Linked DNA regions of Schizosaccharomyces pombe. Changing the gene in region 2 together with the main gene of any one other region gives a genetic interaction. Each region holds a gene or a part of one and is shown on either strand. Other genes may lie near its edges.

Region 1 (3,592 bases), 140 kb from region 2:
ACTTTATTTTGCAATGCGCAAACTGAGATAAAGCCTTTTCTATGAATTTGAATTTTAATAATGATTAATTTAAACAGTTGAAGTGTTCAAGAAATATTATTTTTTCTACCATTGCCATTAAGCTTGTAGCTCCAGTTTATCTAGTAAATCGTCAATCATCTCCATTTTTTGATTATATTCGCTTTCATAAGGTGTTAATGTATCTACAACTCCATCAATGCACAAATCCTCATGGTAAATGCCAAAACGTTTTGAGAGGAAATAACGAATATCATCAATGAGTTCGATCGTGTCTGTTTCTTGTCTCTGTAAAATTCGATCAGCACTTTCTTTGACTAATTCACAGAATTCAGGATCGTCAATCAAGTGCTCCAAATGATTTGCCATATATTCGGAAGCGTATTGCTCCAGGCGAGGCGTAGACGTATCCCAAGCTGTTCGTAGAATATCGTAAATACTATCTATAGGCTCTTCTTGTTTAGTAATAACTATAGAAGCTAAAGATTTCAAGCTTCTATCTTTATCTAACGACAACATGTCTGCAACGTAAACTACATCTAAAGCTAATTCCGGCGCTATATCAGTTTTGTCGGTATATAAAAACTTCAATACAATTTCAACAACAGAACTTGAAAAAGGTAAAGACAAAACCGGTAGTTCTTGATTGCTTTCCAAAAATGGTCCTGCTAACATGTCCAAAAAATATTCACATCTGCACATGATGGCACGATGGACGGGATAGCGGTGTGTATAAGATTGCAAGTAAGCATCGTGAAACGAATACTGATCGGAAGGTTGGTTAAGAGATTCAATGGGTACTTTGTAGTTAGAGATTATATAATCCAAAAATTCTCCTAGATCATTTTGAGTTTTTGCCAACTGGATTTTCTTCCAATCTCTAGAGTGTAACTGCTCGCGATCTTTTTCATACAATGCGATAAAATCGTTTAACTGGAATTTTTTTCCAATACTCAGAAGAGCATTGTTATACTGTTTGGTGAAAACAGCATTTGTGTCTAAGTAGAGATATCGCAAAATTGATTCAAACTCTTTAGCAAAATGTTTGACTTCAATTTCATGTTCACTGGGTCCCAATTTCGAAAATTTTGATTTAAAATATGAACTTCTGGCAGCTAAATAGAATTTATGAGCAAAAACCCTACCATATTGACCGGCAAAGACTATGTCAGTAGTAAAATGTAAAGCCGAGTTCGACAACAAGGAAGTTATGTGACTAGCATAAGGTTGGGACTCATCAATGGCTTTAGTAATATCATAAGAAAGAAGCATACGGCGAATATTATCATTAAGGGCACCATACAAACATCTTTCTCCTTGAAAAGTATCTCGTTCGCATAAAGCACCATTTTCAAGAAGAAATTTTACAACTTAAGCGTGAGAAAATATAATAATTGAGAGCAAAACATTCATAGCATACCTGGTTCATGCCCGCAAAGACTCGCAAGGACTAAAGGCGAGTAGTCAAATTGGTCTACTTGATTAATAGGTGTGTTATAGTTTTCGACCAAACTGGATTTTGAATTTAGCAATTGCAGTTAAAATTGTTTATCGATTCAATATTTTTAAATTGCACATACCTCTTGACAACTTCCAAATCTCCACGCCGACAAGCTTCACAAAGCTCAAGAAATTCTTGGGTATCATTTACTGTGAAAAGTGAGGAAGACAGCTTCTTCTCATCCATTGCCTTTGACCAAAGGTCATACTTGGAGAAAAGCTTTTTAGAATTTTCACCACCTTGCAATTCGACATGTGTTGTCCCTGTATTTTGATCTTGAGAAGCCATTTTAATAAATGAAGAACAATTAACAACCGATTAAAAGGTTATACTGAGCAAAGATTGCACTTATGTTCAACAGTATTATCGACTTAAAATTTAATTGATCATATGCGAAATGTAGTTGGTTAACGAGGGTTCTATGTAATTGTTCAAGTTCGATGTGATTTGTGAACGACTGACCAAGGCGGCGTCAGCATTTAACTACTACGTCTTCCACCACTTTATATATTCTTGTGTTTTCCGTTTTCATTAATCATATATCTTAAGTTAAAATTATTTGCTACATGAATGAGATAACTCTCTTTATTAAATCTTCCTCTGCAAATGCTGAACGAAGGATTAACCCACAATGGACTGTTAGTCAGCTTAAGACCAAATTAGTTCCTATCGTAGGGACACCAGAACAATACCAAAAACTTACGTATGAACCTGCTTCCAGTACAGTCCCTGGACACGTTTTCACTAGCGAAGAAGAGAATTTAGACCTAGGGGAATTCAAGCTTCAGCCTCTGGGGACTATAGTCGTTGAGGATACACGCCCTCCTCATTTGCGTCTAGACTTTGACGATCTTTCACAGGTTGATAAATATGTAATGCCTCGTGAACAGTATGAGAACAGGACAGATTCTGTCTATGCCTGGAAAAAAAGAAATCAGCTTGGACGATTCAATCCAGACTTTGAAGCAAGTAAAGCTTCTCGACAAGAATCTTTAAAACGTGAATTAGTCGACTTACAAAAAAATTTAAATTCTAGGTGCTGTGCAGCAGGAGAGAGATATGGAACTATTCGCTATATTGGACTAGTGCCTGAAATTAATAATGACAATCTGTGGGTTGGCGTCGAATTTGATGAACCAGTTGGGAAAAATGATGGGACAGTCAGCGGAAAGAGATACTTTAATGCGAAAAATAAACATGGATCCTTTCTTCGATCTTCTGAAGTTGAAGTAGGAGACTTCCCTCCAGAAGATATTTTAGAAGGTCTTTGATGTTGTTATTCGTTTTACAAGGTTCCATGTTAATGATTTCCTTTTTTTTTGTTAAATCTTGTATGCAGGCTTCGATTGCTAGGAGATGACTCGCTTAAGATAATGAACAATTTTCTAAAAAAATGAAAGTCTAAAAAGTAAATCATTTAGTTTAGTCATTTCTCAATTAAAATATTTTTACTCAATCAAAGAAAGCATTATAACTGTAATGAATTGTTTGTCTGGCTTTTCTTTTTTTTTTATTTACATCGTTTTACCGTAGTACCGCTAATTAAAACCACGAACGAAAGAAAACTGTGTTAGGCCTATTTGCGCATTCCTTCAACCCCTTTATTTATTTTTTTATTCAGTTTTTGAGCCAAATATTAGAAGTACTCTGATAATTCTTTAAAAGATACAAAGCAGCAATCTCAACATGAAAGATGATCACGATGCATGGGAACCAGAAGAACTAGTCAGTGACAATAACTCTTCAGAAAATGAGCTACAAGAAGACCAAAATTCTTCAATAACTTTTTTACCACCTTCAGTTAATAAATCGAATCCCGCAAAATCGAATTACTATCATTCAACAGTCACTGATGATATTTCCAAGAGTCAGCCATATCGATTAGGAGTAGATGAAGCTGGTAGAGGCCCTGTCTTAGGACCTATGGTATATGCTGTCGCTTACTGTCCAGTCGATTTCGATTTGACCAACTATGGGTTTGCTGACAGTAAAACTTTGGCCTCCTTAAAGCGAGAGGAACTTCTGAAATTAATTTGCAACAAATCTAACGAGCTAGGAAAAAACGTTGGATGG
Region 2 (3,757 bases):
CCGTGGTGGATTAGTTTGTCACACTTGACGTGTATTTTTTTTTTCTATTGGTTCAAGGTTTTGGCTTTGGTTTTCTTTGTTTCTTAATAATTTTATAATTGTGTCGAACCGATTAAATAACTTAGAGGCACTTTTCATATATGGTATATACATGGAATTAGTATATTTAAAGAGTTATTGAATATTAAATATAAAAAACTTCTAATGACTAATCGCGTAAACTATAATACTAGAAAAGAGTTCGCTAAAAAGATTTTTCTGTATTTTAAAAGAAGCCGTAAAACTAGAGCATCGATTTTGGTCCTTCAAGTAATAACTTGGCTTTAGACGTTTCCACTTTCCTTTGCATATACATCGATAAAAGTACAAGTAAAAGGGAGTTCAAAGAGACGCTTTTGGTCGTCTCTGACAGTCTTTGGAGAGAAGCTTACATCTCGTTCGCTTGAAGCAAAGACAAAAGTAGACGTATGTACTGGAATTGCGAAGTGGTATGAAATTAAAGCTTTTATATCTAACAGTTTCCAATTATAATGGAGCTTTAATAACATTGTCGCACCTGAGTTAATTGACGATATTTTGATGCCCTTTGTTATGCGATTTTTAAGAATGCCAGACGTCCAGTCATTGATTGAAGCTTCCAAATGGAATTGAATGCTTGGCAACTCGTGAGATTTCCATATTTCCTCCCAGAATGGCTCTATTTTCGTAAGCTCTTCAACATCCTTAATTTCATTATCAATCACAAGCTTCCGGATGCATGAAGTGTAGTACAACTCAGCATCCAAACGCTCATTAGGTGATATATTCACATCATTCAATTTTACAAGAGAAGGAATTCGCGCAATCACCAGCAGTTTAGCTATATCAGTAGGTTTATTAAAATAAGAAAGTGTTATACGCAGGTGCTTTAAGTTTTCTAATGTACGAAGATGATCCAGAGAACGAATATCCCTAATGTTGTTTTCTGATATGTCAAGGAATGTCAATTTGTGTAAAGTGTGTACAGGTAGTTCTGCAACATCAGCGAGGGAGGTAGAAGATAAATTCAAATTGTTAATTCTTTAGATTAGAAACCTAATTCGTATTTCTCAAATATACTTACCCTTGGAACACATCAACTGCATAGCCATCAGCACTATAAAGATTGAGATTATTTGCAAGACTTAACGTTTGAAGGAACTGCAGATTTTTAAAAGATGTTGCTTTTGATAAAATTATTTCATTTGCTTCAAGGTAAAGTACTTCCAAACTGGGAAAAGTCTCTGTAATCCATTGAACATCTTTACTGTTTAGGCCACATCCATTCACTGAAAGTTGTGTTAAATGAGGAATTAAAAGAACGGTATTTGAGCTAATAAAATTTGAAAATAAGTTTGAACTGAAAGAGTTAGAATATACGTGTAGAGATAAACAAAAACACATGCTCTAGAGTTAAATTTCTTAATGAAGGAAGCTGGGAACACAATTTAAGGATTGGAAAAAATTCATGAAACAAATTTCTCGATAAATCTAAGTCGATAACTTCTACAAATTCCGTTAACATTTAGTTGAAAATAAGTGACATACCAGGTAGTATTTTAGAATACTCGTACTCTATTTCAATATCTTCAATCCTATAATTGTCTAGAATAATAACGCGCAAGCTTTTTAAATCTCTTTGCTTGCTTTGGATTTTTTCGAAACCACAGAATTCTACCTGTTTTCCACTTTTAAATTCAACAGAGGAAGGTAGGGGACTTGAATATGAATATTTTTCGTAAAGTGCTTCCAAAAATGTTCTGCATGGATCAAAAGGGAATCCTTTGTCTACAAATATTTTTCCTTCTTTTACAATTCTAATAGTTTAGTTTCTTGTCGTCAATAACAATCTTACAATGGTTTTTTGTTTCTCCAACACGTTTTAACAAACTGTTTTGCATTTACGTTTTTATCAAGTATGACTTGGTATCGATCATTGTTTCCTTCGATGGTTAATGTTACTAAAGTATTAGATATAGAAGCCCTAACCATTCCAGTGGATATATGCATTATTAATCAACGTGGGAAAGAAAATGGATTGCTATAAAAATTTGGGCAGTTTAAGTTTTTTGTTTCTTTCAAATTTTGTCTTTTATCTACAACAAAAAGTTTTAACCGCACTTTTTCTTTGCGACATAGAAGTGTTCAGTACGTAGTGATAATATAGATGGCATCAGATTTGTTAGGAAAATAGTTGGAAATACTGCTTATTATTATACGGGTTTTGATTCTAATGTCGATCTCATTTTTAAATGTGCTGCTTTATTAAGTCTCTCAATGTTAATGTAAATAATCTATTGTTGGCTGCATACCTCGTAAAGTACAACTTGATACCAATGAATATATTAATTATCAAACAATGCGTTTAAATGTATCAAGCACCAAGCACGATGTAGATTGGAAGCAGCACTATCGAGAATTATCACTTTTTTAAATGAACTGTACATAAAGGAAATGTTGCTTTTTGGGGGCGAGAACTCCATCCTGGGAGAATTCGCAATTGTTGATCTGCAACCCATTTGAGACTTCTAAAATTTACCTCGTGAATGGCAAAAAATTCGATCTCTCGGAGAACTTTGTCATTTGATAACAAAGGAAAAGAAATTATCTTTAAAAAACGAATTGCGAATTCAGTTCCCATTTTTTTGCTCAATATCGAAATCAGAGTTCTGGTCCAGTCGCTGCTATTACGGAAACAATCAACAATGTAATCAAACTGAAGCCCAGATAACCGTATATACTTTAAAGCATAACTTAATTTATTTTTTTTTAAACAATAACAAAAAAATCTGGGCAGGTTTTTTGGCATTATTTCGATTCCTCGTTTTCTGTAAAAGTCTTTTACTTCGAAGGAATTCACACCTTGTAGTAATAATAAATTAATCTTATAACGACTAACTTCGTTTAAATTTTTCTTTTTGTTTATATAATAAATACAGGCATTCAAAAAACCTTGATTCTCTTGCATTTCACCAAACATCTTCAAAAGAGAGAAAATAAAATTTTCCGGAATTTGGCCTTTATGCTCTTCCCAATTTTGATTTATTTCTTGAAAAATTAAACGATCTTTAAAGACGACAACGTAATTAGCGAGTACATTTAGCAGGCTATAGCAATTTAACAAAAAAAGCTGACGAATAGGTAAAACATGCTCCAGTAGTTTTTTGCAATCTTCTTTCTTTCTTAATAAAATAAAACGAGAAAGAAAAATTGCTTGTACGTCAGCCAAATCAGATAAATTGTAGTGATCTCGTATAATATGTAAATATGCGGAATAGACCTCCATAGAGCCTTCTACTATATTGGAAAAATTTTTGAAAAAAGAAACAAAAAACTCAATTTTTACCGGCCATCCCTTATTAAATGAGTGAATGAGCCACATTTTAAGAGAGCAGCTATTTTTAGCCGAAAGGAGAGATATAAAGACTTTATCCAGAAACTGTTCAGATGGAGTTATCCTTTCATTATCAATATGCTCCATAAGCTGAAAAAACGCACGTAAACGTAAAAAAATTTCAGCCTTCTCCATCTTCGAAAAAGCAATAGACGGTGGTAGCATAGAATTAGCTAACATGCAATGGCTCGAATTTCCATGGAAAAGACTGTAATCTCTAATGAGAAGCAAGAAAAGTGTGCGGAAATCATTAAAAGTTTTTGAATTAAGTGAAGAGCGAATATTAGCGCTTTTCAGCAGTTTTTCAACTTTGTGGTACGGTCCATCTTTTCGAAAATATATAGA

Evidence for each region. Genes that interact genetically often act in the same process or in processes that back each other up.
Region 1: of alp21 (region 2) and alp11, extra expression of one rescues a mutant of the other (dosage rescue), as found in Schizosaccharomyces pombe (2 studies listed by BioGRID).

The regions. Positions count from the first base shown.
Region 1 is NC_003424.3:2,251,383-2,254,974, forward strand, and holds alp11 (tubulin-specific chaperone cofactor B), read left to right. Parts: upstream 1-2,000; 5' UTR 2,001-2,085; coding exon 2,086-2,790; 3' UTR 2,791-3,058; downstream 3,059-3,592. Other genes in the region: ubiquitin ligase Btb3, read right to left, coding at 118-1,388, 1,439-1,530, 1,599-1,807; ribonuclease H2 complex subunit Rnh201, read left to right, coding at 3,206-3,592. UniProt on the Schizosaccharomyces pombe protein: Required for microtubule function and cell polarity. Involved in the proper folding of alpha-tubulin.
Region 2 is NC_003424.3:2,388,357-2,392,113, reverse strand, and holds alp21 (tubulin-specific chaperone cofactor E), read right to left. Parts: upstream 2,179-3,757; 5' UTR 2,029-2,178; coding exon 1,874-2,028; exon of another isoform or gene 1,836-1,873; coding exon 1,567-1,835; exon of another isoform or gene 1,525-1,566; coding exon 1,425-1,524; exon of another isoform or gene 1,379-1,424; coding exon 1,103-1,378; intron 1,060-1,102; coding exon 324-1,059; 3' UTR 171-323; downstream 1-170. Other genes in the region: protein Cbp8, read right to left, coding at 2,441-3,757.